3 linked regions of the Stegostoma tigrinum genome follow. The protein of the gene in region 2 purifies or fractionates together with the protein of the main gene of each other region. This does not show direct contact. Links are inferred from orthologs where the notes say so. Each region holds a gene or a part of one and is shown on either strand. Other genes may lie near its edges.

The links.
Region 1: the proteins of spast (region 2) and nup133 purify together in Homo sapiens (affinity purification with mass spectrometry; 3 studies listed by BioGRID and IntAct, counting the BioPlex papers as one, with this or other methods). This does not show direct contact. The link is inferred for Stegostoma tigrinum from reciprocal best matches to the Homo sapiens genes SPAST and NUP133.
Region 3: the proteins of spast (region 2) and nup98 purify together in Homo sapiens (affinity purification with mass spectrometry; 3 studies listed by BioGRID and IntAct, counting the BioPlex papers as one, with this or other methods). This does not show direct contact. The link is inferred for Stegostoma tigrinum from reciprocal best matches to the Homo sapiens genes SPAST and NUP98.

What each region holds. Positions count from the first base shown.
Region 1 is NC_081362.1:764,531-774,489, forward strand, and holds the start of nup133 (nuclear pore complex protein Nup133), read right to left. Parts: upstream 6,106-9,959; 5' UTR 6,049-6,105; coding exon 5,888-6,048; intron 1,759-5,887; coding exon 1,640-1,758; intron 1-1,639. Other genes in the region: abcb10 (ATP-binding cassette sub-family B member 10, mitochondrial), read right to left, coding at 9,758-9,959. UniProt on the Homo sapiens protein: Involved in poly(A)+ RNA transport. Involved in nephrogenesis.
Region 2 is NC_081357.1:94,594,940-94,604,898, forward strand, and holds the start of spast (spastin), read left to right. Parts: upstream 1-4,203; 5' UTR 4,204-4,251; coding exon 4,252-4,573; intron 4,574-9,959. UniProt on the Homo sapiens protein: ATP-dependent microtubule severing protein that specifically recognizes and cuts microtubules that are polyglutamylated.
Region 3 is NC_081359.1:111,731,199-111,741,157, reverse strand, and holds the start of nup98 (nuclear pore complex protein Nup98-Nup96), read left to right. Parts: upstream 1-3,424; 5' UTR 3,425-3,678; intron 3,679-3,777; exon of another isoform or gene 3,778-4,052; intron 4,053-9,200; 5' UTR 9,201-9,228; coding exon 9,229-9,304; intron 9,305-9,959. UniProt on the Homo sapiens protein: Plays a role in the nuclear pore complex (NPC) assembly and/or maintenance. NUP98 and NUP96 are involved in the bidirectional transport across the NPC. May anchor NUP153 and TPR to the NPC.

The sequences.
Region 1 (9,959 bases), on a different chromosome or scaffold from region 2:
CTGGCTTGATGGATCATATTTTAAGCTTTAATTTTATAAAGTGGTCTCTCACTGAAACATTAATACACAATGTGGCAGGTTTCACAAACAATAAAACAGAATATTAACAAAAGAAGTGAAAATAAAATGAATAAATGAAACAACAAACTTATAATGGTTTCAAAAAGAGTTTTAAACATTTAAACTGGAATGCAGTATGAAAATCGGGATGACTTGCTAAAACTGTACAAGGCACTCCAACACCCAAGGAAAGTTGTACTTGGAGCGCTGGCATTGGAGCCAGCCCAGAGGAGGTTTACCAGGTTGACCCCTGTATGGAAGGGCAGCCTTATGAGGAGACGTCACGTGTTAGGCCTTTACTCAGTTTAGAAGAATGTGCGGCAACCTCACTGAAACAAGATACTAAGGGTACTTGTCAATGAGGTTGCCGCTCATTCCTTTAAACTGAGTAAAGGCCTAACACATGTGACGTCTCCTCATAAGGCTGCCCTTCCATGCAGGGGTCAACCTGGTAAACCTTCTCTGGACTGGCTCCAATGCACTCCAAGGTCAACTGCAACAGCTGGAGAGGGACAGATGGCCATTTGTTGGGATATGGGTCAACAGGCACCGGTCAGCTCACCTGTTCTGGATTCTTGAAAGCTAACGATTGGAGTTCAATAACATAATCCACTGTGCTGTCACCACATTGCAATTTAAATCTGACCCTTTTAACCTGCACATCCTTTTCGGGAAGCTCCTGTCATCAGCCTAGTCTCCAAGTCCTTGATGACTTCTACTTGAAATATCCAGCAGCAGCATCTTAAGGACTGGCTCTGGTGCTCCTGTCACATCATAATTATGCCTAGAGCCTCCTTCAGCCTTGGTAAATAAAGGGATAAAGGTCATCACAGTCAGTCAGAAGATAGGGCTGCTCTCTTGTTACACAGAGATGTCTGATAGTGGTTCAACCTCAGGGCCAAAATCCTTCATAGTAATCTCAGCCGATGTGGGAATGGAACTCAAACTGTTAGCATCATTCCATTTCACAGATCAGCCAAACAGCCAAGTGAACTAACTGACCCCCTTCTCAGTAAATATCCATTTATGAAGCACAAATACTTGCAGTGTATGGACCAAACCTTCTATTAAATCAGTGCAAAGGGCTAAACTACTGTCACTGTTGCTGCGCTCAGCCAGTGGATTCCACTGGAATAACAGATCAGTTCCATCGCCATGACACCTCGCAAGTTGTCGGGTTAATGAGTGCACTTACCATGACCACTGCTTCACAATTACTATTCACTACAGTGTTCTGCCTAGAGTCCCTGCTGTGTTCCACCTCATTACTTGGGATGACGATTGATGCTTACATGTCACTAAAAGGATGACATTGTTTCTGTACCTAGCCTGTCCCTGACAAACAATTCTAAAGGCAGAAATACTGCAGATGTTATTTTGCCTGTGAAACTTTGCAGGAGTTCAGTGGATAGTCCAGTATTCCTGTAAACACTTCAAAAGTAATAAAACAAAATTTAAACTTTTTACACTTAAGGTGAAAAGCAAACTTTACTGCCTCAGTGAGTACAGGAAACATTACACTTAGTGATTCAAAAGCTCCAAAATCAATTATTTATACACCATAATAAAACAAAGTTACCTTCAGCTAGGGTTATGGCCTCCATAACCTTAACAGGAAGAGAAGATCCAAAACTCCTGATTTCATAGTTGAGCGTCTCGCCAACTGTTTGATACTGTGCTCCTCTGGTTGGAGTTGGACTTGAGGAAGAAAAAATAATTCCAGTCAAAGTTCTCCATTACTATACTTGAAACAAATGCAGTCATACTTGGCCTAAGTATATTCTTACCGTTCAAATTTAGCAAATCAGTCAGAAACAATAGCAAATGTTCTACAAGAAAAAAATACTAATTTCACAGGGCCAAAGGAACACAGAGCTCAGAACGGCTAACTTTTTTTTCTAGTAAACTTCAGATGAGTCCAATAGTAAACAGCATCTGTGTAATCTCACTGTAATATAAACAGAGATTAGGGAATACCAGAGAGGTCAAACACAGAGATATCAAACTATTGAGTGAGAAAGGAAACTAAATTTCATTTGCGAAACTAAGATAACGTTATTCAAATTCTAAAGAAAAACCAAGTTTGCAATACTGGTGCCAGAATGATAGAATTCAACTTTGCCAGTACATTGAAACAAATTGTCATGTGAACAATACAAAGTATTTGAAAATGTATGAAGTCAACAAAAGTCCACATTCTGTGCTTGAAGCTGTTAATCTGCATGACACCTGAACATTTTTTTGAATAAACCAGTCACTTTACATCATAACTCTGTGGCTAACATATGCTGAGGAGGAAAACTGAATCCCTCTCCTGGTGGTAGTGGTATCTGAAAGGTATGATTCCATCAGTACAACTATGTCAGATTGTTGCTTATTTAATCTACAGAACAACTTTCCAAATTTTGATACATCTCTCCTGATGGTGGTAAGGAAGAATTTATGGATCAAAAGGGTTGTGTTTGCCATTGCTGTTTCTGGTGCCTAGGTCAACATCTTTCTGCGGTACCAAACTCCTGTCACTATGCAAGAGTAGTTTCTTCTCCCTTTGTGTTCTAACGGACTATTCACTACAAGGGATATTTAAACAGCCTAAAATAAACACTTGTAAACAAATAATCAATAACCCAGCACCTCTCTCAGAACTCAAAATCTAAACTGTAACTAAAACCATGTTTTCTCCGTTCCTGAAAGTACAAGTCAAACTTAAAGCTACATTTGGATCTGTTCACTTCAGAACCCAAGTTTCCAAAAATTGATCTAGCATAAACCCTCATCACAATAAACTGATCACTTACTCTTTGAAGGTAAAGAGGTTAGCTTTGAATTTAGCCACTAGCACAAACATTACCTAGTCCATTTACAACTAGATTAAGTAAGTGAATCACCTCTCATTTCACATCTTCCAAAGAATATGCATGATTTAAATAAATGTTGCACATTATCCAAACGCTCTATTTTCTCAGAGATAGTAAGAACTGCCAATGCTGGAGTCTGAGATAACACAGCGTGGAGCAAGAGGAATGCAGCAGGCCAGGCAACATCAGAGGAGCAGGAAAGCTGACATTTCTGGCTTGCTGTGCTCGTTCAGCTTCACACTGTGTAATCTCTATTTTCTCAACAGTTCCAAATGCTCCTTTGAATAGTTGCATTATCCTAAATGTGGATCATACCAATTTATTAAAGCCAGGATTACCTGTCTGTGTTACACTTTCCAATACTGAGTTCCATTCACCATACTTTCAAAAACTCCTACAGCACAACCTGACAAAACGATGCTGGCTTTCCTTGATTACTCCTTGCTTCTCCAAATGAAGATTAACTCTGTCCCACCACTGATGTTAGGCTCACTGACCTACAGTTCCCTGGTTTATCCCTACCACTCCACTGTACCACATTAGCTGTACTCCAGTCCTCTAGCACCATTCCCGTGGCCAGACAGGACTGAAAATTAAAGTCAGGACTTCAGCAATTTCCCCTTTGCCTCCCACAGCAGCCCAGGATACATCTCACGTGGGTCTGCCCTGTCTAAATCTTTCTTACTCTGTCTACACCATTTAGAACAAAGAACAAAGAAAATTACAACACAGGAACAGGCCCTTCGGCCCTCCAAACCTGCGCCGATCAAGATCCTCTGTCTAACCCGTCATCTATTTTCTAACGGTCTGTGTCCATTTGCTCCCTGCCCATCCATGTACCTGTCCAAGTATATCTTAAAAGACGCTAACGTGTCTGCGTCTACCACCTCCGCTGGCAACACGTTCCAGGCTCCCACCGCCCTCTGTGTAAAGAGCTTTCCACGCTTTTCGCCCTTAAACTTTCCTCCTCTCACTTTGAACTCATGACCCCTAGTAATTGAGTCCCCCACTCTGGGGGGGGGGGGGGGGGGGGGGGGAGAGGAAGCTTCTTGCTACCCACCCTGTCTATACCTCTCATAATTTTGTAGACCTCAATCAGGTCCCCCCTCAATCTCTGTCTTTCTCATGAAAATAATCCTAATCTACTCAACCTCTCTTCATAGCTAGCACCCTCCATACGAGGCAACATCCTGGTGAACCTCCTCTGGAACCTCTCCAAAGCATCCACATCCTTTTGGTAACGTGGCAACCAGAACTGTACGCAGTATTCCAAATGTGGCCGAACCAAAGTCCTATACAACTGCAACATGACCTGCCGACTCTTGTACTCAAATATTTAATATTGGAAAAGTTGAAATCCCAATGATCATCACCTCTATTATTTCTGCACATCTCTGAAATTACTTCTACCTTTGCCTAATTATTAAAGGGTCCTCTCGTACACTTCCATCAGGTGATTGAAGCTACCTTGCTGAATGTTTTTAAGGCAAGGCTAGCTAAATTTTTGGACAGTAAAGGAATTAAGGGTTATGGTGAGTGGGCAGGTAAGTGGAGCTGAGTCTCAAAAAGATCAGCCATGATCTTATTAAATGGCAGGGCAGGCTCGAGGGGCCAGATGGCCCACTCCTGCTCCTAGTTCTTATGATTGCTGCTGTTTTTTAATTCTACCCATAAGGCCTCAATTAAAGAACTAAGAAATCATCCTTCTGTAAAAGAACAAAAAACCTCAAAAAGTGACTCCTTGATCAATACTGCAACATTACCACCTTGCTTCTACCCACTCATCTTTTACCTGAAAATATTGTTGCAAGATTGCATCCTTCTTCCTACCCATGTCCCTGGCATCAATATGAACCACAACCTCAGAAGTAGAAAGAGCTGCCGATGCTGGAGTCAGAGATAACACACTGTGGAGATAGAGAAGGCCTGCTCCTCTGATGCTGCCTGACTTCCTGTGTTCCTGCAGCTCAGCATTAGTGTTATCTATGAACCATAACCTTATTGTACACCCCTAAAGGCCCTGAAGCTGTTCAGTGACATCCTTGACCCTGTCCTCAAGAAGCTGACACACTATCCTAGTGTCACAACCACAGAAATTGCTCTCTATTAAGTCTTCAACACTACTGCCCTTGCTTTCATAGTATCCCTAGCGTGAAAACTGGCCTTTTGGCCCAACAAGTCCATACTGACCCACCCCCCTAATCTCCACATCCCTGAACACTATGGGCAATATAGCATGGCCAATCCAACTAGCCTGCACATCTTTGGATTGTGGGAGGAAACCGGAGCACCCGGAGGTGCAGACACGGAGAGAACGTGCAAACTCCACACTGACAGCTGCCCGAAGGTGGAATCAAACCCAGGTCCCTGGCACTGTGATACAGCAGTGCTAACCACTGAGCCACCGTGCCGCCCCATTTCCTTCTGTTCTCCCAGCCCTGGACTTGTGCAGGGGTAGAGATAATGGGAACTGCAGATGCTGGAGATTCCAAGATAATAAAACGTGAGGCTGGATGAACACAGCAGGCCAAGCAGCATCTCAGTGCTCCTGAGATGCTGCTTGGCCTGCTGTGTTCATCCAGCCTCACATTTTATTATCTTGTGCAGGGGTAGCATCACTTTGATGCTTTTCTAGCACAAAATCTGCTGGCGTGTGAGATACGCCCTGGGGGTTTCCTCATTACAGGCCTGCCCCCGCGACTCCCCTTCGCCCATCCCCTGACTGCACTTCACTTTATGGTAGGAGGTGAATTTAAAAACATGTCCAGATGTGACCAGGTGATAGTCAAAGCTGGTGAGACCTGTGCTCATCAGGAGCATCGAGAGACTTCCCCATAACTCAGCCTGTACAACATTTCAGCACCGCGCTCCCCTGATTAAGGTGGTTAGTGTCGCACAGTGTTTTGTGGGATCCTGCCGTGCCAGGGACGTGACAGGCGCCAGGCAAATGCAGCCCTGACAACACTCACCGGCCGCACAGGCTGGAGCGCCAGGACGGAGAGAAAACGCCGCTGGCCGACACACTGCGCCGGCCCTGCACGGGAAAGCCGCCGCCGCTCCGGGTCAGCGGCGACCCAAAGCAACTTGAGGGGGGCCGCTTGGCACCACCAGGAGCCCGCGGGGAAAACATGCTGCAGACAGCGCGGGCCCCGCCGTTTAGGCCTCAGGCCTCCCGCACTCGCCGCCAAACCACTGCGCCTGCGTGACCCGCCAGGCACTGCAGAGTCTGATTGGTCACATTGGGGCATGGACGATATAAACACATTCCTGATTGGTGCTAACTTTAGAGATAATGGGAACTGCAGATGCTGGAGAATCCAAGATAATAAAATGTGAAGCTGGATGAACACAGCAGGCCAAGCAGCATCTCAGGAGCACAAAAGCTGACATTTCGGGCCTAGACCCTTCATCAGAGAGTTCATCCAGCCTCACATTTTATTATCTTGGTGCTAACTTTACACCCGTTGTAACGGAAGCTCCCATTGGTCAACAGCTGCCGGTGATGCTGTTTGACCTGCTGTGCCCCTTGTTATCCCAGAGAGAGAGAGAGAGAGAGCGGTCGGACCAAGGTGAAGACAGTCAGCCTAGGGGAATATATAGCTCTGTTGACTGCCATCAATGGCTAGTGTGTAATAGCAGACCATGGCATAACAAATAGGACCAAATTACTGCAGATCCTGGCACTTGAACTGTAAACAACAAATGCTGGAGATCACAGTGGGTCAGACAGCATCCATGGCGAGAAAACCGGACATTGGCCAATGTTGTCTCCTTGTTTAAGAAAGGAAGCAGGGATAATCCAGGAATTATTAGGCCCCTGAGCCTGATGTAAGTGGTAGGTAAGCTCTTGGAGAAGATATTAATGGACTTACTGAGTAATCAGCTGGAGGTTTCCTTGCCCATGTTTGACCTAAAGCCAGGACACCTCTTGGGGACCAGTCACTGTTATAGACAATAGGTGCAGGAGTAGACCATTCATTACGATCATTGCTGATCATCCACAATCAGTATCCTGTTCCTGCCTTATCCCCACAACCCTTGATTCCACTATCTTTAAGAGCTCTATCTATCTCTTTCTTGAAAGTATCCAGAGACTTGGCCTCCACTGCCTTCTGCGGCAGAGCATTCCATATATCCACCACTCTCTGGGTGAAGTTTTTCCTCAACTCTGTTCTAAATGGCCTACCTCTTATTTTTAAACTGTGTCTCTGGTTGAGGACTCCCAGGGCTACTCCCTCCCACCTGTATACCACTGTGCCCCCCACCTCTGCTGGGTCTACCCTGCCAATGAGACAGGACATATACAGGGATGGTGATGGTGGTATCCGGGATGTAGTCATACTCACAGAATCATATCTTACAGACAATGTCAAGCTGTTGCTTGACTAGTTTGTGAGACAGCTTTCCCAATTTTGGCACTAACCCCCAGATGTTAGTGAGGAGGACTTTACAGGGTCAACAGGGCTGTCTCTGGTGTTGTCTTTTCCGATGCCTAGATTGATGCTAGGTGATCTGTCTGGTTTTGTTTCTTTGAGACTTTGTAGTGAATGGTGCAACAGAATGGCTTGGTAAGCCATTTCAGAGGGCAACTGAGAGTCAACCACATTGCTGTAGGCCAGATCAGGAGGTGGCAGATTTTCTTTGCTAATGGACATAAGTAAACCAGACAGGTTTTTCCCCAACATTCGACAATGATTTCATGTCGATCAGTAGGTTTTTAAGTTCCAGGTTTTGTTTTCTTTACCTGTGACCGGCTTTCAAGTCAGGGTTTATGTGGCTTGTCCAGTTGAGGTTCTGATCAATGACCCCCAGGATGTTGATAGTGAGAGATTTAGTGATTGTAATACTGTTGGAATGTCAAGTGACGATGGTTAGATTGTCTCTTACTGGTGATGGTTATTGCCTGGCACAAAGGTTACTTGCCAGCTCTTGATGTGTTTGAACATGGACTGCTTCAGTATCTTAATACTACAAACATTAACAAACATCCCCACTTCTGACATTATGATGGAGAAGATTATTGAACCAGCTGAAGATGGGTGGATATAGTACACTACCCTGAGGACCCTCAAGCTGAGATGACTTAACTTCAACAACCACAACCACCTTTCTACATGCCCAGTATGACTCCAGTCAGTGGAAAGTTTGGCCCCAACATGCATTGATTCCAGTTTGCCTGGGGCTCCTAGTGGCTACAGCAGGGACCAGTGGCCCAGTGTGGAGTGTGGAAGCCCCCTGCACTGGAATGCTGTGGAGAGACTGTGATGTTTGTCTTTTTAACGGTGTTTCTTATTTTTCTGACCATGGTCGTACTATGTATAGCTGTAATGTAACATTTTTTCTTTCTTTTTCTACTCTATAACTAAGGATTGTATCTAAAGGTGGTGCTGTAAGTAGTGATTTATAAACTTTTTACTGTTCATTTTAAGTACATATGACAACAAGGCTAATTTAATTCTATTCAATTTAATTGATGCCACACTTGGTTGAATGTGGCCTTGATATCAAGGGCTGTCACTCTTATCACTCCTCTGGAATTCAGCTCTTTATAGCCTTTGATTCAAATATGGCCAAATGAGGTTACGAGCAGAATGGCTCTGGCAGAACTCAACTAAGTGGTCCTCAACAGATGCTGCTTGAAAGCACAATTGATGACACCTTTGATCATTTCACTGATGCAAGTAGACGAATAAGTTGGATTTGTCTTGCTTTGTGGGTACAGGACACAAGTAGGTAAGTTTCCACATGTTTGCAGCATTGCATATGACACTGTTATTTCTCCCTCCTTTCAATTTCTGATGTTGTTAATCTGTCTAGTACTTCTCCAACCTGATTCTTTCCTGCTTTTTCATCTTCTGTCGCTAACAATACATCGTCATGCTGCTTTTCCTAATTTCACTTCTTCATTTCAGCTGAAAGCTCTCAAGATGCTGGGCTCCAATTTTTCTGTAAATTCTTTGGTCCTTTGCTCAGTCGACCTGATTCCCATTCTCATTCACCAGAGCCATGTTTCAGAAGCTGCATCCCTGTTGTCTTCAGCATGGGAAACTATACTTCTGAAGTTTCACTGGACCTGAAATGTTCACTATGCTCTCTCACCACAGCTGGTGCCACATCTAAGTTTTCCAGCAAATTTCTTTTGTTATGAGAAGTAAACAAAGACTCAATTTAAAATAGGTCAGAAATTGATTGTTTTAATTTTACTGTAAAATTGATACTACAGATTCTCAAGGGTCAAACTTTTGTGAAGCAATTAAATTCATATTTATAACCACTCAGGATTGATTGTTCAATCACACTTCATCTATTAATCAAACATTTCACAAAATACAGTCTGTACAATGGTGAGTTTCACCAACTATTTCAAGTGTTTTACTTCATTATCGCAAAGGAATTTAGTATCCCTTGTACCATCTGCAGAAAGTTACAGAACAAATGTGAGACTACTCCGTCCTTAAAAGATGGTTCCCAAAATAGATTAAAAATGTTTTTAAAACTGTGGCAAAGAGAAGCTTTGGCAATTTAAAAATCTGCTTTTATCTTTCCCAGAGTCACTGTCAACCTTTCCTTGTATGAGACCTCACGCTGAAGACTTGTCCAACAAGGCCATGGAGAAACTGTATAGATTGTGACGCAGGCTTCCTCATTCTGTGGCTCACATTTGATATCTTTCACCATTTACTTCATTGCTACAGCTGAGATCCTGAACACTGTTCAGAATTACAAGTTTCATAACCTATTTAATAATCAGTGCTGCGATTAGTCAGAATCCAAGGCATTTCTCGGCTGTTTTGACCTGGAGGTATTTTTTTTCCTAAGAGGAGTAACATTTGGGAGCATTATACTTTCAACACAAGTTTTTGGTGGTTTTGTGAAATAGTTTGTTTCTCCACAAGCTTGCGAAATAATCCATCTGAATTTGAGAGGAGTTGCTGGTGGGTACCACACTCAACTATCCTGCCCTGGTCAAGGACTGCAACAGCATCAGCATTCTGGATGGTTGATAGACGATGGGCAATGATCAGCACAGTCCTTCCTACC
Region 2 (9,959 bases):
GAGGAGAGGGGACCTAATTGAGGTATACAAGATAATGAGAGGCATAGATAGAGTTGATAGCCAGAGACTATTTCCCAGGGCAGAAATGGCTAACACGAGGGGTCATAGTTTTAAGCTGGTTGGAGGAAAGTATAGAGGCGATGTCAGAGGCGGGTTCTTTACACAGAGAGTTGTGAGAGCATGGAATGTGTTGCCAGCAGCAGTTGTGGAAGCAAGGTCATTGGGGTCATTTAAGAGACTGCTGGACATGCATATGGTCTCAGAAATTTGAGGGTGCATACATGAGGATCAATGGTCGGCACAACATTGTGGGCTGAAGGGCCTGTTCTGTGCTGTACTGTTCTATGTTCTATGTTCTAATATTATGAAGCAAAATTTGCAAATGAATAACCTGCTCATTGTGCTCAATTTTGGTTGCACGAGGGCATCTCAGTTCTGAACTCCAAATCAGCCTGGGCTCAAATATTTCAAAGATCAAAATGCAAGTTTGAAAATTAGAAGGAAAAGTTGGAACGTGGAGGAAACCAGGCTAGCAGCTTTATAAAATCATGAGGTATATAGATAAATTGGATAGCAAAGGTTGTTTGCCTATGTTTAGGGAGCTCAAAACAAGACGGCATAATTTTAAGATGAGGGGAGAAACATTTGAAAGGAATCTTAAGGGCAGTTTTTTCACCCAGTGGGTGGTTTGTATGGGGAATGAACTTCCAGAGGAAATGGTAGATGCAGGTGCAGTTACAACATTCAAAAGACATTTGGATACGTACATGAGTTGGAACGGTTAAGAGGAATACGGGCCAAATGCAGATAAATGAGATTAGTTTTGTTTGGGAAATTTGGTTGGCATGGAAAAGTTGGACCGAAGGGTCTGTTTTCATGCTGTATGACTCTGACTCATGGACTATAAAGCATTTTGGAACAACTGGCTGCATGAAAAGCTACCATATGAATGAAAGTCACATATTTTCTTCTCAAATAATTCAGTATCTGTTTGCTGATATGCCACAGACTAATTCAACTGGAATTAAACATCTATCAGGAAATTCAGATAGGACTGAATGTTAGATATACCGCTGTTTATTTAGAGTGTGTGATTTTTCAGAATAAACACTAGATAAAACAATAAGCAACCATTATGTCAATTTGATTGAATTAAACTCAAACTTCAAAACTGAAATTGGTAGATTTTGTAATCCAAGGATTTTTGTAATTCATATATAGATATCCAGTGATGTATATATGATATGTATAGATATATTAATATTGATATTCAAGATAATCCAAGGGTTACACTACCAGTTAAGGACAGAGTATGATCTAATTGAATGGCAAACTGAGCTTGAGTCATTTACTTCTATTCCAATGTTCTTTCCTAAGGAAGAATAGCATGGAACAAGGCCATTTGGCCTATTGTGCACGTATCAGAATTGTTCCTTGCATTATAACATTAGTTGATGTTTACTTTACTCTAGAGAGTAATAAGGAACTCAGATGAGGACAAGCAGAAACATTACTTGGCTTTTCAGGCATCTGCTATAGACTCAACACTTCCAAAGCATTTTTGAAGATTAAAGTCCTTCCACTGGGTCTAATCATTTGATGATGTGTTAGTGCAAACAGAGAATGATAATTCTGGATATGTGTGAAACAATTACTATGCTTAGCTTAATGGTCAGGTAGGGCCAGTTAGTTCAGTTAATTAGAGCATGATGTTTAATAATAGCAGCTGTGTGGGTTCAGTCCCCCTACTAAGTAAGGCCTGCATTTTCTACTATCTCAGTCTCTGAGTCGTGATTACCAACTTTTGGACATTGCATGAACGGGTAGAGTAATATAGCTGTGCAATATCAACTCTGATCAGTGTGATGGTGTAACTGGAAAGTTGTAAATCTAATTAGTGTGTTGAATCAGAAAATGGCTGAATTTAATGTTACAAAAGTAATTTAGATTGTTTTTCATTTGATTTTCTAAATACTGGCCACCATACATGCAGCTATGGTAATATGGTCATATGCATTTGGTATTTGAAAGAAAAGGGAGTTTAAACTGTTAATTGTTTTAAAGATGCAAATGATTAAATTTGAGCTTAACGACACATGCGTTGCACCAAACTTGGAAACATTAGCAGAGAGAAAGGAACCCAGCAAACCCAAGAATTATTTTGCATGATAGCTGAGTGTCAAACCCAGGAACAGCAGCTTGATCAAATATTCATGATAGTCCTTGACTGACAACATAGTTATTATGAGTCTGCAGCAACAATTTCCAAAATTTGGTTTGCAACCCCCAGTGAGTGCCATGTTGGTTCCGGATATTTGCGCACTGTGTCAGTCTAGGCGAGGTCAACAGTGATTGTGTGAGTGTTAGAAAATCTAGGTCATACAGCTGAACTAGGAAGGCTTCAGGCTTTACTGTATGTCTGTTACTTTCAGCTTGATGTATAAGATCTTTACCCTGCAATAATGATACTGCTTTGCACATACTGGCAATCTGGCCAGAAGGGTGGACTGTGAGGGACGGAGTGGGTGGGGAAAGTTGGTCTGGTATTGTGGAGGGGCAGGAAGTAACACTGGTTATAGTTTGTCGGGGAGGATAGAGGGGCTGATTGCAATGTGTGGGCTGGGGAAGAGGGCTGTTCACAGTGTGGGGGCCAAAGAAGAGGGGCTGATTACAGTACATAGATTGTTAAGTGCAGCTGGTTACAGTGTGCCAGGATAGAGACAGGAATGTGAGGGGTGAGGAGAGGCCCTGATTACTATGTCTTAGGGTGGGGGAACTGTTTGGCGTTTTGCTGAGTGTTCTGTCATTGGGCCAAATGGAAAGCTTGTCTGCCCCCTCCCTAAGTATATGTGATATCAATTTAGAAAGTATTTTAAGGCATAGATATTTTTAATCAAATGGTAACTGGGGTAATACTCAAATTTTCATGATTATATACTGAATATTATTATGCCACTTCCTTTGCTGATGTTTGTGGTAATATTAATTTTCAAAAAAGGGAATTGTTTTGAAAAATAGTTTGGGAAATTCTGGTCTTCATTTTCAATTTGTGGGCACAAACAGCAGTCTGAAGCCAGCATAGAAACTAAGCTCCATGCATTGCTTTTCCATGTATGAAATGAACAGACTTGTTTGTAAATAACTCAAGGAGAAAGATCTTTCATGTTTTAATATATCAATGACAAAACTGTTTGGAAATACTTTATATTATGTTTTGCATGGGATATTGACTTGCTAACCTTTTGTTAAATACTGGACTCAAAGCATTGGCTCTATTTCTCTCTGCATAGATGCTGCCGAACCTGCTGAGTTAATCCAGCATTTTTTCTGTTTGTTTCAAATTTCCAGCATCCTCAGTATTTTGCTTTTATTTGTTATACGCTCGTTCTTAGCTTCAGTCCGTCCCTTAATGACAGAGCTTGTACATTGAATCTATTAATGCGCTTGTGGGTTGGTTGATTGATCCCTGATTTATTTGAGCAATAGGCAGGAAAAATAGTGCAAGGCCCAGTTCAGAAAATGAACAGTGAATCCTTGAGAATCCTACTTTTAGATGTTTAGCTAATTATATGACATATCTCTGGAGCAGGTGGATCTCGAGTATGGGCATTCTGGCCCAGAGGAAGACACCTACTGCCGTAGCACAGTGCTGAATTTGTAGAATATTTCTTCAATACACAGTATTAATTTCTGTGCACTGTATTTAGCACCACTAAGAAATATAAATGCACGTCTTTTTTTCCTTTTACTTAACCCTACTCATCTATTCACACACTCAGTGTTTCGTATTTCTTTCTCTTCATTCTGCTTCATGCTTACAATTCAGTTGCTACCTGATCTTCAGTTGCTCTTTACCGAGTTCATTGTTTGTTTTCCTGCGTCGTTCGTCCCATTTTCTCTCCAAACTGGTTTTTTGATTGGCTGATAATCTGTTATCATCTTCACTGCTGAAGAAGGGAGGATGTTTGGTCTGGACGCCCGTCCCATCTGTTTCTGCACAGAGCTGCCTTACCCACCAATGGTTTGTTTTGATTGACTGGGAGGCTGCAGCCCTGGACTCTGATTGGTTCGTTACCGCACAGAGAAATCTCGGAACTTCGTGATTCTATTGGATAACTAGTGAAATACCCACCTTCTGATTGGATGGAGGCCCGGCTGTTAGCGCAGCTGATTGGAGGGTGCCTGGACAATGCGGAGTGGTCGGGACGCCTGCGCTATGCCCGTGGGTGATGGCGGACAGAGGGCGGGTGGATGAATTCTCCGGGTGGCCGAGGCAGAAAGAAAAAGGGTCCGGCGCGAGTATCGCCCGACGGCACCAGCGACAGACTCTCCCTCCACAAGCGGAACCTTTACTACTTTGCGTATCCTCTGGTCGCCGTTTTCAGCTTCCTGCGCTTCTTGGCCTTCCACCTTTGGCTCTTTTTCGCCTACGTCTGCCAGCGCCTGGCCGCGATGGCATCGCGCAAGGCAGCCCCGGCCGTCACCACGGCCGAACCCGAGCAGATCCGCCAGTCCCACAAACTCGCATTCGACTACATCTCCACTGCTCTCAAAATCGACGAGGACGACAAAGGTAAGGAGGTTCTCTGTACTTAAAGCGGGCTGGTCGGAGGAAGGCTTTTGTTGGACAGTTGCAGGGGTTGTTGGGTCAGCGCCCTGCCCCTTTGATCCAGGTGAGAAACCAACGGGTAGTGTTTATTTCCAATGTTAGTGTGCATCACATTGTAAATATCTGGCATTGTAATGTTTTATAATAGATTCTGTACTAGAATATTAAATTTATGTGATTCATTATGACATTATAGTGCAGCAAGTATTATATTTATAGTTAACATTGTAAAGAGCTGTTATTGCGCTGTATCTCGTATTGTGCATATTACCATGTTTTGATGTTGTAGAGTTACGTGATACTTTTGGCAGTACATGGTAATGTATTTCTTGCTTTACTGTCATGATGTAGTACTATATTGTATGCCTCTGTCATGTGATGTTGCATGATAATGTGAATGCTTTACTATGTTACATGGTGTTGCTTTGAAACGTGCTTGCATTGATCTGTGTGCTACACGATGGTGTAAGCCTTACAGCATTACAGAGCAAGGCACCAAGCGAAAGCATGATGTGTACGACTGATCTCAAGGAAAGTGACCCTCAATGAGCCAGTGAGTTCTGAGCTGCCGACTTCCCTTTTTACAACGTCCAGCCAAAGTCCAAGAACAGCAAGCTGAGTAGCCAATCGGATTGGGGAAAAAATATCAAATCAAAGCCAAAAACAAAATGGTGGTTTGCTTTATAACAACAGTTTTGCCATAAATTAAATAAGATTAGAAGATACATGCAGGATTAACATAGATACTGAACAATCATATTAAAAGATATTTTGTAAACTTCTTGTAAAAAAAATCATGGTAAAAAGCAAATGACACTTCAAACTTCTAAAACTATTCTTTCGGTACTGAGTTTATGCAGCAATATTTATGACTTCAGTACAAGTTAGCAGCACAATGACATTTCCTGCAACAAGATTGTGATTTGACAGTTCAGAGGGCTTTACGGTAGAATGGTACCTGTAATGTACAGAAACTTGTCAGATGACAAAAGCGAAATTAGGATTCATTTCCAGTTTTCATTGTCTCATCATAGACTAGGGTAGAACAAAAGTGTCCAAACATCTGGAGCATGTTTGCCTAGCATTTCAAAGCAATGGAAGAAAATGAGGATGAGATGTTGAAAACCTGGAGTTTAAGTTGGCGGACTGAGAGAGTTTGTACACTACAGTTGCTGCTCTGTGGTAGAGATAATGGGAACTGCAGAAGCCGGAAATCCGAGATAACAAAGTGTGAAACTGGATGAACGCAGCAGGCTAAGGAGCATAAAAGCTTTTGACTTTCGGGTGTAGACCCATCAGGGGAGGGGGGAGAGGATTCTGAAATAAATGGGGAGAGGGGGAGGTGGACAGAGGAGAAGATGGTTGGAGAGGAGACAGACAAGTTAAAGGGGTGGGGATGGAGCCTGTAGAGGTGAGTACAGGTGGGAGGTAGGGAGGGGATAGGTCAGTCTGGGGAGGGTGGACAGATCAAGGGGCGGGATGAGGTTAGTAGGTAGGGAATGGAGGTGTGGCTTGAGGTGGGAAGTGGGGACAAGTGAGAGGAGAGGCGAGGACGAACTAGGCTAGTATTGGGATGCAGTGGGAGAAGGGGAGATTTTGAAGCTTGTGAAGTCCACATTGATACCGTTGGGCTGCAGGGTTCCCAAGCGGAATATGAGTTGCTGTTCCTGCAACCTTCAGGTGGCATCGTTGTGGCACTGCAGGAGGCGCATGTCGTCTGTGGAATGGGAGGGGGAGTTGAAACGGTCCGCGACTGGGAGATGCAGTTGTTTATTGCGAACCGAGCATAGGTGCTCTGCAAAGCGGTCCCTAAGCCTCCGCTTGGTTTCACCGATGTAAAGGAAGCCACAACAAGTACAGCGGATACAGGTGCATGTCTGCTTGATGTGGAAAGTCATCTTGGGGCCTGGGATGGGGCTGAGGGAGGAGGTGTAGGGGCAGGGGCAAGTGTAGCACTTCTGCGGTTGCAGGGGAAAGTGCTGGGTGTGGTGAGGTTGGTGGGGAGTGTGGAGTGGACAAGGGAGTCACGGAGACAGTGGTCCCTCCGGAAAGCAGACAATAATGGGGATGGAAAAATGTCTTTGGTGCTGCTGGTCTGAATTGTTCAGCACATTCAATTAGAAACTGCATGGAGTAAATTCTGCATTAAAATGGAGAGAGATAACTTCAAAAGACAGTAAGTTCTTGTTTAAAATTAATTGTGTGGCTTTAGGTGTAATATTGAGTTGGATTCTATAAAGTCTTCAGGAAAAAACATTAACATTATACTCTGCAGGTTGAAATACTTTACATTGCTAGACTTGTGCATTTGTAAATGAAATAACTTCTCATATTTTTCAAACTTTTTTCTTATCATACCTCCTGCTCGCTGCTAATCATGCTGCTCAAACCTCTTGGTCAGTGCTGTTTCTTCACTTACCTGAGCCTCTAATGCTCCCCATCGTGTCTAAGTTTCTTCAGAGACAGTAGGAATTGCAGATGCTGGAGAATCTGAGGTAACAAGGTGCGGAGCTGGATGAACACAAGTAGACCTGAAGGGTCGAGGCCCGAAACGTCAACCTTCCTGCTCTGTTGCTTGGCCTGCTGTGTTCATCCAGCTCTACACCTTGTTATCTGTGTAAATTCCTTTTTGAGTTCTACCTGACAATGGAGTTTTTTTTTCCTTAATGCTCCAGCATGTCTCTTCCCATTCCTGAACACTTTCTGTGCCTGTGGCTTCTAGAGATGAGTGGCTCTTACAAGAGATTGGAAGATCAGTTAAAATAAAACATGGATTATACTCGCTCCAACTTGGCACATCTGTACCACTGTGGCCTGCAATTTTGCTTTTGCCCTGAATTGAATCTAGTTTTTGAATAAAAAATTACATTCAGGAGACAGAAGCAGTGAGAGGTGGGGTCAGGAAGGAGAAAAGCCACAAATCCAGGGTTGTGCAAGGAGAGAGGCTGCACGTCAGTGGCTTGAGGAGAGAGCATCCTTTTGTTGAAGGATCGGACGTAGAGATTGACCCCATGTCACAGGTTTGGGGAGGGGGTACAGACCACGAGTTGCAGAGTTTGTGCCTAAGAAGCTACTCCATTTTGGAGCCAATTGGTGTCTCAATTCACTGTGACCTCGAATATCATGATACTCAGTAAACTTGTTGCCTCCATTAACCTAGCTTTATTTTGGTTCAGCATTGAAAAATGGGGCAACATTAAACAAGGAATTACTGTATTTATTAGATGTAAATGTCAGCATATCCTGAGGTTGTTTAAAACTGTTGCTGTTAAGGTGTTGACTTGTGCTCCAGCTGCAAAAATGGATAATGGAGCCTACTGACTCAGTGCCTCAGCTTTGTAACATTTGTTTTGTCACTCAGAGCAATGGTTTAAATGTCTCCACCTTGTAAGCTGGCAAAACCTAATGGAAGCTGGTAAAGTTTGAATTGAATTTTTTTTTGTCTCTGTGCAGCTCATGACATGATATAAATGGACAAGCACTGCATTGTAGTTATTGGGCAGAGCTTAATCCTTAACGAATGCCAGAAATGGATGACCTGCTCAATTTTCACATTTCTGTACATGGGATTCCATTGCGTAAGTTGGTGCTAAATTCCCAGCATTGCAGTAGTATCTGCGCTTCAAAAGTACTTGATTAGCTTCACAGTAATTTAGGATATCCTTAGTTTGTGTGAGGAGCTGTAGCAATCGATGCCCTCCTCTTGTCCATATCTTGCATGTTAATTACTGTAATTGGTTAGTTCTGCTCTTTCACTTACCAAAGATAATAATGAAATTGGTGTTAGTTTACCTACATTTTCTAACTGGTATAGTACCAGGGAATTTTGCCAGAACTTGGACTATGCAGCAGTTCGGTTTTATGTTGAACCCTATGCTTTCTGTTACAAGTTCTTTTGGTTTTTAAAATGTGGAATAACTGCAGATGCTGTAAATCAGGAACAAAAACAAACCTGTTGAAAAAGCTCAGCAGGTCTGGCAGCATCTGTGGAGGGAAAAACAGTTAACGTTTCAGGTCTGGTGACCCTTCCTCAGAACTTCCTTATTCCACATTTTTAGTTTATTTTATCAACCTGTTCAAACATGCTACGTTGTACACATCTGGAGCAGGTGGGGCTTGAAACAAAACGTTCTGGCCCAGAAATAAACCCATTATCACTGTGCCCCAAGAGTCCTCTTATTTGTGTTTATTATGAAAACATTTTTTGTAAATTTCAAATGTAACAACATTTTCCTGTCAGTGCCACGTTATTTTGAAAAATGCATTTAGAGCATGAGGCATTCACAAGTATTTTCTTATTTCAGTTGTCATAAGAATCTATAATAGCTTTGGGGAATCTTTTTACATGAAGATGAACGGATACTGAGGTAATAGCATGTTGCTTGCTTTGAGGAAAACTTGAATTATGTTTTTTTGGGAGCAATTGTCATATGGAAATATTTAAAATTGAGAGAATGGATAGGCTTGATGGCAGGTTATTTCAAATAGTTGAGAGAGTGATATATTTAGAAGGCAGGAATAATGTCTTCAGGCAGACTTAAGGCTTTGTGGTGGCCTTTTTAAAAAATGTATAATTGAGACAAGTTTTTAATGTTGAACAGTAGAACAAAGGAAAATATATTTTGAGGCATGTGGGGACAGCGTGTAGCTATGTTTTTAGATGATTTGCTTTTCAAAAGTAATGGCCTGGCAGCCCCAGATTACATCTGAGTGGACTTGTCTAGACTTTCCATGTCTCCAAGATCATAGACAGGTATGTGATTGGTGAGAGAATGCCAGATTTTGACTGCAGTGACAGTGAAGGAATCATGATTTATATTTCCAAGCCAGGATGGTGAGTAGCTTGGAGGGAGACTTGGTGTTTTGGTGATGTTCCCATATATCTGCTGTCTTTTTCCTTCCAGATGGAAGTGCTTATGAGTTTGGAAAGCTCTGTGTAAGTTTCTTTGAATTTCTGCAGTACATCTTGTCGATTATACATGCTGTTAGTGGAGTGACTGAATGTTGTGCCAATCAAGCAGGAGGCTTTGGCCTGTATGGTGTCAAGCTTTTTGGTGTCCTTGGAGTAGCACTTATCCAGGCAAATGGGAAGTTTTCCATCACTATTCAGACTTGTGCCTTGTAGATGGCAGGCTTTGGGGACTTGGGTGGTGAGGCATTCACTGTAACATTTGTAGCCTCTGACCTGCTGTTGTAGCCACTGTAGTTATATGGTGGATCCAGTTGAGTTTCTCCTCCTTTGATCACCCCCACGATGTTGATATTTCTGTTTCAATGATGGTAATGTCTTTGAATCTTGGAGTAGTGATTAAATTCTCTTATTCTTCCACTATCAGTCACACAGTAGCTA
Region 3 (9,959 bases), on a different chromosome or scaffold from region 2:
GAAAGACCAAAGACCCACCCTTGCATGAGCTTCAGTTGTCATACAGTTTGACTAAAATTCAGTACCATGTGATAGAGGTTCTCCAAATGAACAATGTGAAAATATTGGTTTTGCTCCCCACTATAAACTCTGGTCACTGGCTTCCAAATCCATTCCTGGCCCTTACACCGGACTGAGACTGAAACGTACCAGTTTAAACCTTAGTCTCGCATTCAATCCCATGATGACTTTTCAACCAAATTATCACATCACCCAGGTCCCTAATATTGCCTGGATTCATCCCTATCTCCACACATCTGCTTCTGGAACCTTCATTTATGCTCAAGCTCTGATTACTCTAATGCTCCTCTTGCAGGATTCCCACTTCCTATCCTCAGTAATTTGCAATAACAAAAAGGTAGAAACTTGTGGCAAACCCTATTCACCCTCTGCTCCTGTGTTCCTTGATCCATGTTGGTTGCTTCGATTACAGGGTTCTTTAACTGGTGTTTAACTCTTTCCGTGGCTTTGCCTCCTCCCTATCTCTGTCATCTCCTTCAATCCCACAACTCTCTGAAATCTGTTTGTGTAATTCTGGCTTCTTAAATGTCCCTGATTTTAAGCACTCGACCACAGGCACTGGCAATGATGTCTTCATCTGTTTGGGCCCTCTGCATCACTTGCTCTCTTTCTTTGAATGAGGCAGGTCTTGATGTTTCTGTATGTCCTTCTGCACGTGCTTCAAAGCCTAAATAAGTACAAGATGATGCACAAAATTTTATTGGAGCATGGAGAAAGAGAGACAGAGAAAACTCAGGAGAGAATTCCAGAGTGCAGAGCCCACATTGCTGAAGGCCACCAATGGAGTCATAGAGCTGTACAGCATGGAAACAGGCCCTTCGGTCCAACTCATTCACGCTGACCAGACACCCCCATCTGACCTAGTCCCATTTGCCAGCATTTGGTCCACATCCCTCTATTCACATACACATCCAAATGCCTTTTGAATGTTGTAATTGTACCAGCCGCCACCACTTCCTCTGGCAGCTGAATCCATGCACACACCACCCTCTGTGTGTGAAAAAGTAGCCAAGATAACAAGATGTAGAGCTGAATGAACACAGCAGGCCAAGCAGCATCAGAGGTGCAGGAAGGCTGACGTTCCGGGCCTAGACCCTTCGATACCCAAAACGTCAGCCTTCCTGCTCCTATGATGCTGCTTGCCTGCTGTGTTCATTAGCTCTGCACCTTGTTATCTAACATCCTTATAAATCTTTTTCTGAACCCTTTCAAGTTTCACAACATCCTTCCTAAAGCAGGGAGACCAGAAATGAATGCAGTATTCCGAAGGCAGGCTAGCCAATGTCCTATACTTCAGCAACATGACCTCCCAAATCCTATACTCAATACACTGATCAATAAAGGAAAGCATACCAAACACCTTCTTCACTATCCTATCTACCTGTGTCTCCACTTTCAAAGAACTATAAACTTGCATTCTAAGATCTCTTTGTTCAGCAACACTCAGGCAGGATTGATGAAAATTGGGGATATCACAACAGGCCAGAATTGGGATGGCATGGATATGCCAGAGGGTTGCGGGCCAGTCAGAAATTAGAGAGACAGGGAAGTGTGCGTCCGCGGAGGTATTTTGAAATAATCTTGAGAAGTTTAAAAATCAAGATGTTGTAGCATACAAAATCTAATCTGATCAGTGGCCTGCTCAGCCATTTCAGAGGACGGTTAAGAGTCAACATCTTGCTGTGGGTTGGTAAGTCACATCTAGTTCAGACCAGGAAAGAATGGCAGTCCCCTTCTCTAAAGGACATTGATGAACCAGACAGAATTTCCTAAATCCACACCAGTTTTATTCCAAATACTTTATTGAAGTTAAGTCCCACCATCAGCCATACACATTCCGTTCAAATCTGGATCCCCAGAATATTACTGGGATCTCTGGATCATAAGGCTATTGCCCTGTCCTACGGAAAAAGAATTAAATCAAGTTTTTTAAAAAATTCTTTCATAGGATAAGGACATCACTGGCCAGGCAGCATTTATTGTCCATCCTTAATTACCCTGAGGGCAGTTAAGAGTCAACCACATTGCCGAGGGTCAGGAGTCACATGTAGGCCAGACCAGGTAAGGATGGCAGTGTCCTTCCCTAAAGGGCATTAGTGAGCCAGATAGGTTTTTCCTGACAATCAACAATGGATTCATAATTCCAGATATTCTATTGAATTCGAGTTCCAACATCTGCCATGGTGGGATTTGAACTCAGATCCCAGAATGTTATCCAGGTCTCTGGATTAACAGTCCAGTGATAATACCACTAGGCCATTGCGTCCCCAGTGAGTGCCTCAGTGGTATAGCACTACTGCCTTAAGCACTAGGGACCTGGGTTCAATTCCAGCCTCAGCTGATTGCCTGCATGGGTTTCCACCCACAATCCAAAAAAATGAGTAGATTAGGTGCATTGGCCATGTTAAAATGCCCACAACGTCCAGGAATGTGTGGGTTTGGCAGAGTAGCTGTGGGAAATGGAAGTGCAGGGTTACAGGGATAAGGTAAGAGGGAGATAACAAAGTATGAAGCTGGATGAACACAGCAGGCCAAGCAGCATCTCAGAGCACAAAAGCTGACATTTCGGGCCGAGACCGCTTTTGTGCTCCTGAGATGCTGTGCTCATCCAGCTCCACACTTCGTTATCTTGGATTCTCCAGCATCTGCAGTTCCCATTATTTCGGGTAAGAGGGAGAGTCTGGTTGGGATGCTCGTCTGGGCTGGTTTGGACTCGTTGGGCCAAATGGCACGTTCCCACAGGGATTATACAAAAATTTGATGTTGAATCTAATAAACTCTCCAGAGGCTGCCAGGCCTGTTTCCTCTAGGGTTTCTTCTGGGGGCATACAACAACCATTAACTATTTCATGGTCATCATCATGGAGATTAGTTTTACATTCTACATTTTATTGTTCAAATTTACATGTCGCCAGCCACTATGATGAGATTTGGCAGACATCTCCAGAAACAGTTGCCGAGGCCTCTGGCTGATCCTTCATCAGAGGGTGTAGGCCTTAAATGTCAACCTTCCTGCTCCTCTGATGCTGCTTGGCCTGTGTTCATCCAGCCCCACACCTTGTTATCTCAGATTCTCCAGCATCTGCAGTTCCCACTATCGCAGCGACCATCCAGTTGAGGCGCAAAAGGAACCTGCAGGACTGAAGGGCCTCCTCACCTCCTATGGACCATTTGGAGGAATTGCCCTTTTAAGAGGCGGGCCGCAGCGGGTAACAACAGCAGCAGCGCTGTAACAGGCAGGATTGTTTGAATACACCAATCACGCACCGTCATAGGGGCGAGCCCAAGTCGCACAGCCAATCGGAACGGCGGATGCGGCTGATTGACGTGAGGGACTGCGGGGAACACCGGACCGGGAAAGAGGGTCAAGTGGGGACCGACGCCGCTATGTTTTACTACTGACCCCGCCTGGAGTGACAGTTGATCGCAGGTTTATGTGCGTATGGGAAACAGGCTGAACCGAGATGGTAACCGAGCTCCCGAAACTGTTGCCGGCGGGAGAAGCAAGAAAGGCAAAGGCCCGAGAATTCGCGGCTTTCGCCTTCATGACCTGCAGCTAGAGCGAATGGCCCCAGAACACTCCGTCTAAGGCCCACGTTGCCCAGTCCTGAATGACATGTAAGGCGACCAATGGGATTGTCAAGATTGTGGGTGGGCGGGGCTTCCGGTCGAGAAAATGACCAATGGAATGTGAGGGCGCTGCCTTTTCGGGAGCCTTTGCGTCTATTAGCCAATGTTGTTGCGAATCAAGTTTGACTGACAGTCAAATAATCCAATCGACGAACACCTTTCCAGACGGATGTTAAGACTGGCCAATCAGTGCGCGCAGCGTGGGCGTGTCCCGTAGATGTCACGTGGGAGAAGTAGGCGGTGCCTGGCCTAGGCGTGTGGTCGAACCTCAGCCGCCTCGGGGGCTACTTGAAGTGTGTAACCGGGACGGAGCGGATGAAGTGACTGACTATAGGGAAGGCTATCCGAGCTGGCAGTGGGCGGTGAGTGAGGCCTGAGCAGAGATAGGCTTGGATCCCGGTGATTGGGGGTGGGTGGATTAACCAGCCTGGGCCTTGACGGGGTTCGGGGTATGGGAAAGGTCAGCTCCAGCAATCAGGCGCTGTAGCTGCGGGGACCCTCCCGACGAGCCGGCCCCCACTTTCCGGGGGGGGGAGGGTCAGGCAGGTTTCCCGACACGGTTTCACAGACACATGGCGGGGGGGGTCTGATTGGACTGTTTTCCCCTTGTATCCGGGTCAAGAATGAAGGGGATAGGCCGAACGGCCTCCTGCGCCGCAGTATTTCGGCTTATTGGTCTATTAAGTGTGTGTTGATAGTAAGGAAAAGTTAACTAGGCCAGGCTTCTTTAGAGGCCAAAAGGCAAACTGAAAAATAGTAAAATACTGACTGATCTTGACAGGGCGGGTTTAGAGAAACAAACTCCCAGACAAGCTCAACGGCTCTGACTGTTTCTCACTCCAGGTACTGAGTTATCATTTCAGGTCCAGGAACAAGCTGCCCCATGTAGTGAATCTGTAGCTGCAAAGGCGTCAGAGTATGTTATAAAGGATATGGAGCATGCTAATATGATCAGGCAGAGTCAGCATGGCCTCATGTCACAGATTTATTTCAGTTTTTTGATATAACAAGAGACTGGATATTTGCTCATCCAAAATGCGCTCATTCCAGAACTACACAGACTACTTAATGGTGTGGGCATGGATATGTTTGTATGTTATGTTTTCTTGGGTCGAGGACTGGCTAGCTAATAGCTAGAGTTTGAGTAGAGGGTTTGTTTTCAGGATGACTGCCTGTAACTAGTAGTGTGTGCAGGGATTAGTTCTGGAGCTACGGTTATTTACTGTCTGTATTAATGAAGCTGAATGTACTGTAGCCACCTTTGTGGATAGCATTAAAAACAGGTGAAAAAGCAAGCAGTGAGTGTGAGAGAGATTAGGGGGATATAGACAGTTAAATGAATGGCTGGAAAAACTCAGTAGATGGGTATAACATCGCAAAATGTGAGGTTATGTACTTTGGCGGGAAGAGTAGAAGAGATGAATATTATTTTAATGGAGAAAGACTGTGGAAAGCTGCAACTCCAAGGGGTAGGGGGCTCTTTTGTGCATGAATCACAAAAAGCTAGCATTGAAGTTCAGTGTGTAATGGGGAAGGCAAAGGGAATAAAATATAAGCTTAGTGTCATCTTGCTGAAATTGGACAAGGTGTTGATCAGACCACAGCTGAAAACTGTGAAGAGTTTTGATCCCCTTATCTAAGGGAAGATATACTGACATTGGATGCATTCCAGAGAAAGTACCTCAGTGGTTAATGGAATTTGGAGTAGAGTTTTTTCTAAATTTAACTTGTCTCTGATTAGAAAAATGTTATTACACACTTCTGAAATAGGTGAGACTTGAACAGGCCACTTATCCCAGGAATAGGGATGTTACCACTCCACTCTGCTACAACAGCCCCTTTTTGGAGCAGAGTTGAATTTTGAGATATATGCAGAACACTTGTTTATACACAATACCAACATGAGGGGCTGAATGACCTCTTTCCCTCATTGTAACCTCCTTGAGTAGAGCTGTTGTATTCACCTGAAACCATTGTCCTGTGAAAATATTGGTCAGTTTAAGTAAGATTAGCAGGTAACTTACGCATAGCTGCTTTGCTTCCGGAATGAGAATTCTGGGGAGATATACAAGTTAGAATACGGCTGCCAGTGACAGTTTGTAAATATGCTCTTCCCATTTGTGGTTGTTCTTTTTTAGTTGTTAGCTGGAATCCTTCTGTCCTCACTAAAAGCTGAGTTCAGCGTTTATGATGAGTATCTCCAGCTAACCAACATGAAGATTTGAAATCATTGCCTTTAGTCCCTGCTGCAAATTCCACTTACACATCATGACTGTGTTTCACTCCTGGTCTATGCTGATACTGAACCAGTCTGTTGGATCAAATATGACATTAGTTTTGCCAAAGACTCTTATTGTTAACCTGAAGGCTGCCTGTTTCCATCCTGTAGCTTAACCTATCTTCTTCCCATCTACAGTTTGTCTCCTGCTGCACCCCTCGTTTGTGACTCTTTTTGACCTCTAGATCTGACTGTTTTAATGCAGTTTCACCTTCTACCCTCAAGAAGACTCTGCTGTTTCTAGTATGATTCGTGGGCAGTTCAGCCCCGTCTTTATTCTTGCTCACCTAAATTGGCTCCTGCTTCCAGCAGTAGTTTGATTTTTTTTTCTCCTCTCCCCTTTAAATCCTTCCATGGCCTCATCCCTCTGATATCTATAACCACCTCCAGCCCTGCTGCTTTTCAGGACTTCTCCATTTCCCTAGAATTTAATTATGTTTGTGAGCATCATCTAGTCAAGTTTTTATTACCCATCCCTAATTGCCTTTGAGAAGCTGATTTATTAGTTGCCTGTTTGAACTGCTGCAGTCCATGTGGTGTGCACTGTGCTGATAGAGGATTTCAAGATTTTAACTGTAACAGTGAATGAATGGTATATTTGCAAGTCAGGATGGGGATGGCCTGGAGAGGATTTCCAGGTGATGGTGTCCTTTTCAGTGGTGGAGTTCTGGGATTTGGAGACTCTTTTAAATTAACCTGTTCAGAGATGTTATTACACAATTCTATAGTAGGTGGTACTTGAACCTACTCGAATCAGAGGTAGAACACTACCACAGTGACCACCCCCTCTCTGTAAAGGAGACACCCAAAAAGTTTTGGTGAGTTAATGAGGTACACCTTGTAGATTGAAGTCACACAGCTACTGCTGCACGTGAACGGAGGAAGTGCTGGATGGTGTTGAGTGAAGCTGAGGTCGGACAGGTTTTGCTGCCATGTTGGCTTTCTCTCACCATCTGCCGTAGACACAGTCTGAAAGGTATGCCTTCAGGACCCAACCTGCTTGGTTAGCAGTGGTACTGAAAGCCTTTAAGGATAGGTGTTAGAATTCCACATCTCGAGTACATCTCCATCTTCAGTGTACCCTCCAGTTGAACTGGTGTGGTACGATTCATCAGCTAATGGGGATAGTCAGCAACAATACCATGTAACTTTGCGGGGTCTGGAGCTGATGCTAAGGACTGTCCGGTCTACTCGCCCCTGTATCTGTTGCCTTTGAGTCTGACAATACTCTAGGATGGTGATGGAGGTGTTTGGGGCATGGCCTTTTTTTAGTCATCCATGGGATATGGATCTTGTTGGTTAGGCTAGTGTTTATTGCCCATCCCTGATTCACCAGTGAACCATATTGCTGCAGGTCTGGGGGCACGTAGGCCAGACCAGATAAGGTCACAAATTTTTCCCTAAAAGAATATTAGTAAACAAGATTAATATGTGATTATTTCACTTTGTTTGGCTTTATTGATCGACTTCAAATTCCACCAGCTACTGTGATGGAGTTTGAACTCATGTCCTCAGAATGTTAGAGATAATGGGAACTGCAGTCTAGACCCGAAACGTCAGCTTTTGTGCCCCTAGGATGCTGCTTGGCAATCTGTGCTCATCCAGCTACACAGTTTGTTTCCTTGGAATGTTAGTCTGGACCTCTGCATTAGTTGCCTAGTAATGTAACCATGGCAGTACCATTTTCAGAGCCATGTGCTATGTCCTGATTTTCATCACTTCATCATTCCACCACTGGTATCTGTGTTTGAGCTCTGAAAGTCCTTCCCTAAACCTCCAGGTCCTCTACCTCTACTCCAAGCATAGTCTGGCAGAAATACTGTGCGTTTGTAAAAATGTTTCTTTATTCCAGTCCCCTTGCAGTGAAGGCTGATGTGTTCTTTGTCATCCTGATTGCTTGCTGTGTCTGTGTGCTAACTTCTAAATTGCTTACAAGAGTATGCACAAATCCCTCTGAACATTGACATTTACAATTTCATGCTTTTGAAAAATAATGCTACTTCTGTATTCTTGCAACCAAATTGAGTAACCTGTAGTATCTCTCAGTATGCCACTTGGTTACTTACTCATTCAACTTTTTGTATCTCTTTGCAGCTTTCATTTCCAACTAGCTTCATGTTGTCAGCTAACTTGTATACTTTACTTCCTGTCTGTAAGCCATTAGCATGGTGTAAAGGTTTGTAGTATGAATTTAATTTGGAACTTAGATTCTACAGTGGAGGTAAAATGTTTTTGTTTTCACTTCTGTGTAGGTGCGACTTTTTTATGATCAGAAATTTTTTTTCAGCATTATGTCAAAACAGCCCTTGCAAGAAATTGTACAGATAAAATTGTGTCCTAGCAAACCTCCTGGTGAGATAATTACTGAAATCTTTACTGATTTAAGATTTTGCATCCCAGACAGAGACGGACTGAGAAGGGCCACAAGCAAATCCCATTCGGAGTGTCAATTTGTAGCAGTGGGAGGTCTGCTTAGTTTGCCAAGTCAACTAAACAGCCTGTGTGGACAGGATTGGGAGAAGCCCCAAGTAATTATTCTTTACTCAGTGAGTTAGTGTCAGTGTGTCTTGGACAGAGATTGAGAGAATTGCATCTCGTGAATGTGTGGAAATTTTCCAGTGAAGGTATAATTGATACTTCACCTGAATTGCATTTACGTAAAGGATATAATTGCACTCAGGGTTAAAACTTTCATTTTGGTGTTTGTGGTCACCTCTTTCCAAACTGTCTATACAGCATTGGTTTTCTTTTCTTCACGTTCTTTTTTATTAAAAATATGTTGGTAATTTTTTTGTGGATATGTAAATAGCTATGGCTGCAGAATTGATCTTTGCAGCATCCCACAGCCTGCCACCTTGGAAATACCCACTCACTGGTATACCCTGCTGCCTGTCCCCCCTCCATGCTAATAGTGGTCACACAACTCCCACCCAAAAAAATTTCATGAGTCCTTATTTATTTATTTTTGGTCCGACACTTTGTATGTTCAAGGAGTTACAGCACTTTAATTTACCCCCTTTTTAGACATCCTCTCATCACCTTCAGATTTGAGCTTCAGAAACAGCCCAGATTTGGAGAGGATGAATTCTGCTGGTTGGAGTTTTCCATGAAGCAGAAGGAGAGTCAGTCAGTATCTTGCATATGCTCGTACGCTGGCATCCTTTGATGTTTTAGGAGTTTCTGTTAAACCCTAGGTGACTGATTTTTTTGCTCGGTCTGTTTCTCTTCACAGTTGCCTGTGATCTTAGTAATCTGGTAAGATGTTTAATAAGTCGCAGTTTGGCACTCCCACCTTCGGCAACACCAGCGGATTCACCACCTCAGCATTTGGACAAAGTAAGTTGGCTTTTTCTGCACTTTGTATTTTGGGAGGCAGAGAAGTTGAGCGTTGCTTGGTCAGTGACCATCACCACCAAAACCAGCCCCAACAGCATTCATATGCCTGCTAGTATGAGATTGAAGTGACGATTTAGAGTATATTGAGTAAGGGGCAGCAGGTTTCTCACCCTTTTTAAAAAAAAAGTCCCACTGAATGACACAAATCTGACTATGAATCAGTGAGACGGATAGCAGCGTTCCTTGTCAGCTATGCTCCCACAAGGCTATGCAGCAACCTGAAAGCCACTACATAGACCTGTTGGGCTGTTCTTCCCGAGATACTTTATGCGTGTGCTGCAATTTGGAATATTAACTCTGCTCTCTGAACTGAACAGGCAGAATACAGCAAGAGGAATATAGCTAGCTACACTTCCAGTGACTGTCTCAGTCCTCAGTAACTTAGCAGCAATGGCACCTAGTCCCTAGAAATAATCTGTAAGCAAAACCCTGTATGTTATGACTCGTGCATTCTGTCATGGCATGTGATCTACACAGGAACTCTTTCGAGAAGGTCTCTGAGATGTGATTACACATTATGACTGTTGATAGCTATCTATAAATTTGAGTAGTGAGCCTATAATACTTCTAGCAGTTACTGTCTTTATCCATTATT